3 linked regions of the Oreochromis niloticus genome follow. The protein of the gene in region 2 binds, or shares a complex with, the protein of the main gene of each other region. Links are inferred from orthologs where the notes say so. Each region holds a gene or a part of one and is shown on either strand. Other genes may lie near its edges.

Region 1 (3,755 bases), on a different chromosome or scaffold from region 2:
AGGTGTTTTTGCTCTAACATCCAGTCATAGTGGATAAAATGCACTGTGAGCAGGAAAATAGTGATAAAGTACTTGTGGGCTTTTGGGTAAACCTTAAATTAACACATTAAGCTGAACAATTGAAAACACAGGTACATTAACAGATGTTTGTCTCTTAGATATACTGCTTTTGTACCCAGTCACTGATGCAGACAAGCAACCTTTAATCCAGTGAATACTGAATCAAGAGCCTCCCAGTGTTGTTTTGGCAAGCTTCTGGTGCATTCACGTGTGTCTTTCAAATAGCTTACTTAAGCTGGCAAATATACTTAACTTACAGTCACTTCCAGTGTGTTTTGCTCTTGTTCTTATTGTTGTATTATTTTTGTAGCCACATCACAGTATAAACAGCTTAAGCATTTCACTGTTGGATTACACAGATAAGTAGTTAAAGACCAACCTTGACTAGACATGGGGCATTGTGCATGGGCTTGAGCAGGTCTGGGATATCTGGCCCAGTGTAACCCTCCGAGTCAGGCTCAGTGGCGGGATCCTGATGAAAACGCACAGCCTGGGCTGGAAGTCGACACTCATAGAGCTGTTTGTACTTACTGGACACCATCATAACCTCCTCTGTCTTAGTCTACAAACGTAAGACAGGCATGGAAAAGGGGGCGAATTTAATGTTGACACACATGGGCACACATTACCAATGCATTACTTGAGTGCAGACAGATAAAAACATGGCTTGCGGCTTTCTATGGGCTCAAAATGTGGTCATAAATATTTTGTACTTGTAAATCAGTTTTGTACTTGTAAATCAGGATTTGTATGTGTAAAAAGAATTTGTGTGTGTGTAAAAAAGATTTGTATGTGTAAAAAGAATTTGTGTGTGCGTAAAAAAGATTTGTATGTGTAAAAAGAATTTGTGTGTGCGTAAAAAAGATTTGTGTGTGGACTTAGCCAAAAAAAACCCCTGCAAGTTACAAGTACGAATTTTGACTCTATTTTTCTTCCTTTCATCTGATTGTTCAATGTCATGTCAATCACAAATGTAACAATCCAATCAGAGAACAGATGGGTTTGGCTGTCGGAGGGGCACTTTTTTGAACTGCAGGTCCTTGAAGGGTAATACAGTTTGAAGCTGGAGGATCTCTATATAAATATCCGATAGCAGCTAGGTCCGCTAACTTTCAGCAGCTGTTGAAAGGATAAAGTTGTGGTATGCCAGTGGTTAGACATACCATTATTACTTTAGGATTAGTTTAACACAAAGTCAGGGCTGACCCGGGACCATTGCTGTGAGTCACAGTGAGCAGCATAAAAGTCCTTTCACATCGAGCACAGGATGTGCTGCTAATGCTAACTAAACGCAAAGGATCCAGAATTTGTTGCGCTGGTTGCTGGGCTCTGTGGTTTTTTGCAGCAGCTCTACCTGTACTAGATGCACCTGCTCCTTGTCGTTTCTATCTCTGACTTTATGTCCTCTACAAGAGTTTCTGGGGGTTTTTTTTTTGCTAGTTCTTCGAATGTTCAATAAAAACATGTATGCTAATTCATAACGAAGAAAGCTTTGTAATGAAGACTGTCATTTCCAAAACACTGCCCGCCCCCCCCCCCGCGGTCCGCAGCGCTGTCGAAAAGGCTGTGGAAGTCCCTGTATTAAACACGTAGACCTGTGACACAAAAGTCACCAAACTCGGACGACCACAGACTGTTTTCCTTCGTGGTGATGAAGGAAAACACTGGGTTGGCATGTAAAAGGGCATTTATTCCCTTCAAAGACCTGCAGTTCAAAAAAAGTGCCCCTCCGACAGCCAAACCCATCTGTTCTCTGATTGGATTGTTACATTTGTGATTGACATGACATTGACCAATCAGATGAAAGGAAGAAAAATAGGGTCAAAATTCGTACTTGTAACTTGCAGGGGTTTTTGGCTAAGTCCACAAACAAATCTTTTTTATGCACACCCAAAGTCTTTTTACACATACAAATCTTTTTTACGCACACACAAATTCTTTTTACACATACAAATCTTTTTTACGCACACACAAATTCTTTTTACACATACAAATCCTGATTTACAAGTACAAAATATTTATGACCACATTTTGAGCCCATAGGGCTTTACTTTCAGCTAGTTACTTATAGACCTGTGGCAATGAACATAACAGCTGTCACAGCATGCTGCGTACTTCACCTGAGAATTACTAGTCTTCATGTAATTTTATAAGATTTATTTTCATATGTTTTGTGCTTTTATGACATCAGGTCTCACGCTGTGTGAATTATTTGACACTATTAATAGTAAATAAATAACGCTAGCTCATATTTAAGCTAACAAGCTATATCCGTTAGCATTTCCTGACTCACCTGCCCCAGGATGACAGGATCGGGAAGAATCTGAATCCCATATTTCATCTCATTAAGCTCCTCCAAATTCAAGAAGCCCGGGACACAGAGGGGACATGCCAACAAGAAAACGTACAGTCTCTTTAACAACCAAACCAAGGAAGCAGCCATCATTGACTCTCGCCTCTTACCCCTGTCTGACAGCAACAACACACAGAATGCCTGACATGGTAGCAGCGGATTGGTCGAGGTGAAAAGCCCTGCTTTGTCATTGGCCAATTTCCAAGTCAATCAAAGTTTTTCCCCAGTTCTGGGGTGCGTTTGGTTTTCATACCAGCGGACAGTCAATGAACGGCGTGTTTGTGCTATATATAGCATGCTAATGAATAACGGCCAATGACTGATAATGGCCCACATCTCCGCTGTCACCGCCTGACTTGCGATGAAATAGGCTCACACTTAAGCACGAAGACAAGGCGGCCTGTCGCATGGCCAAATAACAATCACGAGTTTGGGGGGGGGTTCTTCGTTTGTTTCATTTTGTTTTGATGCAAAACAGTCCGAAGTAACTGATTTTAAAGGTTTACATTGACAATTAGGTACAATGATGACAAAACGATAAAATGATTCATATGACACCCAAAACGTACACACCGAGCTGAGCGAAAAGTGCAGTTCTGGGTTTAAATATCTGGTGAGGGAAAAATCAAGACAATTCCTTGAAGAAAGAAAGCATTCCTTAACAGAATACCAGAAAGGAGGGGAGGACAGAGGGTGTGATACTGTAGAAGCTGAATAAGCAGTACAATATTTATCGGCTGTGTGAACAGACGCCCACCACACACCCACGCACCAATCTAAACACGTATGTAGACATAAATGTTACTGTTTGATCATAATTCTACTTTTTTTGAGAAATCGTGCAGTCAGTTCAGTGGTATCCTCTCCTCTGTGTCTGTGTGTGTGCGTGCTCAGCTGACAGACCACTGATGGGTCTGGTGTAGCGGTGAAATCGGTGCGCTCGCCGCTGCGCCGCAGCCGCTGTTGCTGCAGGGGGAGCATCCGTCCAACAGCCTGCAGTGTTGCGATGCGCGGCCGCTCCGTCTCTGCGCCGCTTCCCCCCACATAATTCCATTTTCAAGACCTCCGAGGAACAGATCCGTGAGAGAGGGGCGAGCTCCGTGCAGCAGGGAGGTGAAAGAGTCTGCAGTGTGCGTCTTAACTGAGGTGAGCTGTGGGGTTATTTGATTTTTTCTACAGTGGGGTGCTGCTTTAAAGGCCCGTGTCTCCGTCTTCGGCAGGAGATTTTTTTTTCGGGGGTTGTTATTTCTCAGCTCTGGCTGAACGTTTGAAAGCTTCTGTGATAGACAGGGGAGGGGATAGGCATGAGATTTTTTTTATTTTTCATTTTAGACATAACATG
Region 2 (3,755 bases):
CACTCTACCTGGCGTGGCTCGACTTTTTGTCACGTGATCTGAGACCTCCAGTCCTTCTGGTCAGAGGAAACCAGGAAAACGTTCTCACCTTCTACTGCCAGTAGCATCTCCAGTGAGACCAATGGACATATATGAAACCAGTTATCCTGACATTACAACACCTTTCAGGCCACAGAAGACATTTATTTTTCCATAGATTTATTTCTTGTAATTTAATTTTCAGGTATTAGTGAATTGTAATTTCTTCAGTAATGAGCACATGAAATGATTTGTTACATTTTGATTAACTCTGATCACAAAAATTAGTGAAAAGATGTCTACTGTACAGTGTCCTCTATGTTTATCAGTTAGGGTCCCTTCATGCTAATGTTGCACTCTCCACTTCATAATATACAATAAAAAATAATAAATATAGCTAACATACACATTCATGGGAATATGAGGTTGAAATAATTATGCAAGTCTTTGTTTTTGATTGCATTTGACTTTTTTTAATCTTTCTATTTATGGATTTGTGGCACAGGAGCAATGGTCTCCTATAGCTTTGCCATCAGTCTAATTTAACTTTGTAAATAAAGTCTTCAGTACTCTTTTTAATATTAAGGTACAATATTAAGGTAATGAGGTACAATGGGAACACACGGTATCACATCATGTCCTTGTTGTAACTCTCTTGTGGTTAAACCAACGAGCTATGTAATAAATCGATCAATAAATTAATAAATACTTGTATTTGTAAGTATATGCATATAATCAAAACATGATACAGTATTAAAAATGTTTAAAGGTGCTGTTATCTGGTTGTTTTTTCACAACAGTATTTATATTCCGATGTTTTGCTCAGATATGTCGTTAACATCTTGTGGCTCCGTTCACTTTTCTGGATAAATCTTGTGGGAATATGTGAAAGTTTACAGCTGATGTAACAAGCCTGATGTAACTTCAGCTCAGATAGTTTTGCTTCTATTATCAGAGACGGAAGCTCACATGAGCTCTCACTGTGCTGTGCTTTTGCCGTTTTAGAAAACGGCAAAAGCAAAACCTTGAAAGCTCACAGGAAGGGTACAAAAGAAAACATACAAATGTTTCACTTTGGTGGTGTGTGTTCGGTTTTTGCTTGGACTTTATCCCGGGTCTAAGCGCGTTTATCTCTGCTTTTCGATACCTTATCAAATGGCGTCGGAGTGTGGGTTATTCCTAAATAAACGATCTTTGGAAGCGTAATCAATAACTGCGCATGCTCAAACTGTGAATATTCTGCAAACCTCCACGTCTGAGCACGAGCAGACGGTAGCCAATCAGGAGCGGCCACAGTGTGTTTGGAAACAACATTCCTCCTCTAAAGTCCCGTATGAGGACCAGCGGAGACACTTCTAGATCCACCCAGGTCACCGCAGTTTCTCTTTAACATAAAACGCACTTTCCCCCGGCCGTTCTTCGTGTTAGTGAGTCCAGCGGGTCACGGAGACATCCTGTTTTTCTAGCTCACACACCGCCATTACACCCGGAGCTCGAACCGACAGACGGTAAAAATGGATGCAGGAAATTCTGAACAAAAGACGATCACTCTCATCATAAAGACGCCCAACCAGGCTCAGGAGGACCGGACCATCGAGGGAGTGAGCCTGCAGTGGACCATAAAGGAGCTGAAAGCGCACCTGTCCGCTGTCTACCCGACCAAACCGGTGAGTTTACACAGAGAGCGGCGGAGCTATTCGCGGCTGTGCTGTGGAATGTGATGAGAGTAAAAACGAGCTGTCAGCCATTTCCCGGGTCACGCGCGTGTATATGCGCGCGCTCACACGAAACCAGCACAGCGTGCCTGCGAGTCACACGAGCTCGAGCTCGCAGTCACGTCATTTTTTCTGTTTAATTAATAAACTGATTGAGTGACACACCTGCAGTGAACACGTGTTTATGTCTGTCTGTTGTTTTGGTACAGACGATGGAGGTGTTTTTGTATCTCTCTGTAGATATGTCTCTGAAATAAGTACAACTTCACGGGAACATTCGTGTTATTCAGACCACATCCAGAGGTGTGTCTTGGGCAGGGGGGCTGCACATGTCAAACATCAGTTTTGGACAGGGAGCAGAGAAGGATCTACGCTTCAGTGGAGGCGTAGTGATGGCAGCTGTAGCCAGGCAGTGGACTGAAAATGTTCAAATGAGGAGCCAGGTTTCGGTCTGTTTACCCAAATGTTGTGGGAACTTGGCCATGTGTTTCTGGTTACGAAATGTTCTCATCGAAATCAAAGGGGAGGTGAGACAGAGAGGGTCTTCATCTTCTTTGATGAAAACAGTGCTGTGGTAGGCTCACAGCACACAAACACTTTTTCAGCTTTAATATTGGGACATCCCCTGATATGTCTCAGATTGCACCGTAGAGATGATTTACTGCAGCCTGGAACCTGCAGTGAATAAAGTGTCATCTTTATTCTTTCTTTTGATACTAAGAATTCTTTTTTTTTGTTGTTGTTGTTTTTTTACTACAATTAGATATCATTTCCAGGTGTCAATTATAAGTCTGTGTGATCTACTGTAAACAAATTACTCGACTTTGGCCATATTTCATGGTTTCAGTTTAGTACCTTAAAAAAAACAAGCTCCCCCACCAAACCCAAAGCAGCAAGGAGATCTGATCCGTTACTGACTTTATTCTTGTTTCGTCTCCAGGCTGTGAGTGACCAGAGGCTGATCTACGCTGGCAAACTGCTGCCTGATAACCTGCACATTAATGGACTCTTCATACAGGTGTGTATGACAGCACGAGCTTTCATGTCAAGTGGTAAATGTCACAAGCTGATTATGTGCCACTATGCTGGAGACAAACTGGTGGAAAAGGGCTGCTTTTATCTCGCTGCTGCTTGTAGGAGAATAAGGAAGTACACAGTAGTTACTGAGACGTGTGAAAGGGCTGTGCCACAAAAACTAGGACAGACTATTTCATGTTTTTTTGTTCAAGAATCCCAGTAGAGGCTCATACTGCCTGAGCAGGCATGATAGATGTAAGACAATACCAACCGTGCACAAAGGAGCTGTCAGCCATTTATTCTGTGAACCAATCAGCATAGAGCTGTAGAAAACCTGCGCGCAAGCTTTGGAGCTTATGCGGCCTTGATTTTGTGGGCCTGTCCCCACTTCATTATAAAGTAGAAAAACAAAACAAAGCTCATCTTACTGTCTGTCAGCGTTGGGAGCAGCCGGGAGGAACCACTATAGAAAAGAGTGCAACAGAGGGACAGCTCAGACTGAGAAGGTTGAGAGCTGAGGCTGAGATGGTTTGGACACGTTCAGGGGGGACAATAGCAGATCTGTTGGACAAAGGATGATGAAGATGGTGCTGCGAGGTAGGAGGAAAAGAAAAGGACCTCAGTGAGGATTCATGGCTGTAGTGAAGGAGGCCAGGGATAGGGTGAGATGGAGATATAAACTGAAATTTCAGTTGTATACAGCACAATGCCACTGTAACGAAACAAAATAACCGTGGACTTTTTTTTGTTTGTTTGTTTTCTGTAAAAATCACTGATTTGGCATAGTTTCAGTTTTTTTCCTCCCATGGTCATCCACAGTTTGAGAACCACTGGCTACACTGAGTAGACCCAAACCCAGCAGAAGAGCTTCATACCGTACCAGAGCCATGCTTCCCTCACTGTAAGGGTCAAGAGTGCAGTTTTTTTTCCTTTCATTTGTCACTGGTTATCAGACACACACACACACTGCAGTGAAAGGCCACATGCAAAAGCATGCAAAAAGAA
Region 3 (3,755 bases), on a different chromosome or scaffold from region 2:
GTCACAGTAAACCCATCAGCAGATAAACCGGAGCAGCTGGGCTACGTAAAAAGTGAAGGGGGGCGTGTTCACGGTCACGTCCAGTAGGTGTGTGTGCAGGAGAGTGACACAGCTATTCCACCTCGAGTCACTACTGCACAGACTCTGGCTCCAAACATGCAACATGGTAGCTTGTTTGACTTCATTTTTGTACTATGGGAGGAAGTGCAGCCAGATCGTGCATCTTTTCTACAGTCATTTGTTGTGAAGGGAGAAGAAAAAATGCTGTCCCATAATTCATTGCAATGGACCATCCTACCATTCATGAAAACCCACCAACATAATAACCAAAGTTGCACAGAAATGGTCATTTATAAGTGCATTTAGCCCTTCTTGCCACAACCTGCTGATGTATTAAAACATTACAAATACACTTACTCAGCATTGTGGAGATGTTTGATACTGCCCAGAACACCTGGGATTGTTCATTTAAAGAGGATTTCTTTTTCAAAATAACCATCAATTGCCTGTGTCTATTACCTATGTGTCTATTAGGAAACCTGGCTGAGTTTCCTAATATACTCACATCTTGAGAGGATGTTATTTAGTCCATTTGATCAAATCGGTGGCAGAACAAATTCTCATTAAAGCAACAAGTTCGCTTATGAAGTGCTCTGTAGTTATCACAGTGTTCACCGCTCCTCGTTGTAAATCTTGTTTGTTATTTTTAACCCAGATCAGGAAACAAGCCATTGTGATGATATTACATTATATTGAGGAGGCAGCTGCCCACTAAACTGTGTCTAACACCAGTTAATGTGGGCATGTTTCCTAAATCAGCAGCAGACGTTAGACAGCTGACAGGTGAACAGGATGCATGCATGACTGAGGGTCCTTCAAGCTGATCGGCAGTGTCATAAAGAAAATGTCAGCTTGTTATTTATGTTACAGAAAGACAGAGGAACAAGAACGGCGGCAGACTTTTTTATTTTTAAATTAAGATCATTTAATTGTTGCCTGAAGCTAATGTTGAGACACGTATGCATTTGTACAGCTGGAGATGTTGCCCTTTCTTGCCAAGGTCTTTAATCTTGTGAAACCGTAAGACACACTGGCAGAGTGAGAAGACCATTTGATCTGCGGAACATAGAGAGTTAACGTAAATACCAGTTAACCTGGAACGCTGGAGTCCAATTCCTTGTTTGTGGGCACAAATAAAGATGTTTCTGATCTCAGTTCATTTCTGTCCCAGTGAAAACTGAGAAACTATAAGGCTCACCTCTAAACACTCATCATGAGGGCTCAGTGAAAAGGTTTTGGACAGCTGGCCAAGTTTTGACCCTGCCAGAACAGCTTTGAGCCATGCACGCAAAGTGCAACTATCATAATCACGACAGACATAAGACATGATTTATGTTCGGCGTTAAAGAGTTTGTGCAATTTACTGCAAACTGCACAACATTTTTCATTCCCATTTCCGTGACTCATTTAAATATTCTTCTCCCGAAAGTGAAAGTCATAAAAATACATATGTTTAAAGTTTAAAAAAAAAATAAAAAATAAAAATTACGTGTTATTGCTGTGGGTTGCACACGACCAGCATACTTCCTATGTTTCTTAAAGTCAACCTTCAAAATCAGCCGATTAAATAGTCCCCTTGATCACTAATATTACAAAGCAGTTAACTACAACGCTGAACACGCAGACGTGTCCTTAATTACGTGTGTAACGTCAAATAACTCCGCAACACGAAAAGTACAGGGACAGAGCCAGCCGGTACAGTTTCAACAGACAGATGGTTTGCTCTGAATGCCAAAGAGTTTTAAAATAAATAAATAAAGCATCCCACACAACAGGAAGAACTCCGAAAAAATACTAAATAAAGGTGCCAGTGTAAACATTTAGATTGGGACGGAGGCTAATAACAGTTAAGCTAATTAAGAAACATTAAAGTGTTGGATTCTAGCTGTAGGATTTATCCTAGGGTTCCGAAAGCTGTAGAAGTTGTTTTGGGATCAGGCTTACCTGGACTCTTAAGGTTGTATTTGCTCTCCATCCTTGAAGAAACTGGGCACTGTCTTGAAGTTGTATTGTTTTCGTTTTCAAATACCTAGCTTTCAAATATTAGCGTTAGCTTCGCTTAGCAGCCCGGCTAGCTTGCTTCGTTCTTAAATCTGAGCGATACAGCTCAAACCGTACGTCCCGCTCTCGCACCGGAGCTCCAGTCTGCAAGTGGGGCAGGACGTGTTTCAGTAATGAGGGGATATTTTTCAACTTCTCTGCTGTTTAGGTTTTGAAACGGTTTCTCTAACCTTATCGACGTGACGTCATTTACGGAACGTAAACAGGAAGTGAAATCTGAGGCTACGCAAGGAGTGCGCACATCACTGTTAGAAACGGTAATGGCATTAGTCTGGAAGCAAATCATTACCGAAAGACTAGAATTGTATTAGCAACAGGAAAGTGAAAGATTTAGATATAATACTGGTGATGGCCAAATGAAGCGTTCCGAAGTACTGAAGCTTTAGTTCGCTACTCGAAGCTTTTCAACACTGTCCTCTTTAGTAACATCTGGTGGCCGGAAATATGAAGAGCAGCTTAAATCAAGAACATATTCAACCTGCTTCATTATGATTGGCCGCTCTACAGAACTTCTGTTTCATGTGACAGTACTGTGTGATATCGGGCTGATATGGTGCTTTGAATATGTGTTTTTTGGGTGAAAAAATAATGTTATGTCTATTTTATTAGATGAATAAACTTTCCTTGTTTAAACATGTGCCGTGTGTCTTCTCCTTTTTCTTGTGACTTCTTGTTGTTTTTTACTAATAAAAAATACACTATATATAACAATGTACAGCACAATCTTACAATAGGTTGGGAGTATGCTTGTGCTGCGAGGTCCCTGCCTCCATGTGATTATGTAATTAACAAGTGGACAGGTACGTTTATATATAATATACTCTAACTTCCATAAGACATTTGAGATGGCAGTTTCAGAATAGTGTTTGGCTGTTTATAAATTTCAGTGGGAGAAATGTTTCGTCACGTGACTTCTTCATTCTCAGCTGACTGCAGGTTTCCCCAGTCTTATAAACAGTACCTTTGCACAATGACTGAAACCAGCCCACTGAATGAACAATGGGCTGGGATGTCAGTTCCTTCATCATTAATATGCAAATTGTAAAATTGTCATGACCATTGATCAACAACCACTGATCCAAGACCACTGATCATTGATCATAGGCCACTAATCAATGGCTATGAGTACCATTCAGAGAGAGTTGGGGAATGGCTGCAATCACAGCATTGTAAGATGGTGAAAGGTGTACCCTGTGGCCTGCTCGTCAATTCAGAGATGGTCTTTCCCTTTTCACATAAGGGTTGTTTGGTTTCCCCGATATATAAATCATGGCAATCCTCCCAGTACTTAACAGCGTACACTACATTACTCTGTTTGTGTCGGCGTAACCGATCCTTGGGGTGGGCCAATTTTTGGCACAGCGTGTTTTGGGTCTTAAAAGCCACAGAGACATGGTGTTTAGAAAAAATGCTTCTCAACTGTTCTGATACTCCTGACACAGAAGAGGTCACTACGGGTTTTCGCTTAGGCAGCAGTTGTCCTTCTGTCCTGGATTAGGTGGAGCTTTCTTTAGGTGCCTTCCCAGCTTTGACAAACATCCAGCTCGGATAACCACATTTACTCAGGGCCTTTTTGAAGTGATATTCTTCTGCTTCCCTGGCCGCTGTGTCTGTGGGGATGGTGTTCGCTCTAT

Evidence for each region.
Region 1: herpud1 (region 2) and os9 share a complex: the UniProt entries of both Homo sapiens proteins name them as parts of the HRD1 complex. The link is inferred for Oreochromis niloticus from reciprocal best matches to the Homo sapiens genes HERPUD1 and OS9.
Region 3: herpud1 (region 2) and ube2j1 share a complex: the UniProt entries of both Homo sapiens proteins name them as parts of the HRD1 complex. The link is inferred for Oreochromis niloticus from reciprocal best matches to the Homo sapiens genes HERPUD1 and UBE2J1.

What each region holds. Positions count from the first base shown.
Region 1 is NC_031970.2:23,295,438-23,299,192, reverse strand, and holds the start of os9 (protein OS-9), read right to left. Parts: upstream 2,682-3,755; 5' UTR 2,507-2,681; coding exon 2,354-2,506; intron 623-2,353; coding exon 440-622; intron 1-439. UniProt on the Homo sapiens protein: Lectin component of the HRD1 complex, which functions in endoplasmic reticulum (ER) quality control and ER-associated degradation (ERAD).
Region 2 is NC_031972.2:2,339,965-2,343,719, reverse strand, and holds the start of herpud1 (homocysteine-responsive endoplasmic reticulum-resident ubiquitin-like domain member 1 protein), read left to right. Parts: upstream 1-1,274; 5' UTR 1,275-1,532; coding exon 1,533-1,685; intron 1,686-2,673; coding exon 2,674-2,751; intron 2,752-3,755. Other genes in the region: slc12a3 (solute carrier family 12 member 3), read left to right, coding at 1-104. UniProt on the Homo sapiens protein: Component of the endoplasmic reticulum quality control (ERQC) system also called ER-associated degradation (ERAD) involved in ubiquitin-dependent degradation of misfolded endoplasmic reticulum proteins.
Region 3 is NC_031980.2:28,188,576-28,192,330, forward strand, and holds the start of ube2j1 (ubiquitin-conjugating enzyme E2 J1), read right to left. Parts: upstream 2,502-3,755; 5' UTR 2,036-2,501; coding exon 2,005-2,035; intron 1-2,004. UniProt on the Homo sapiens protein: Catalyzes the covalent attachment of ubiquitin to other proteins. Functions in the selective degradation of misfolded membrane proteins from the endoplasmic reticulum (ERAD) and is essential for cells to recover from ER stress.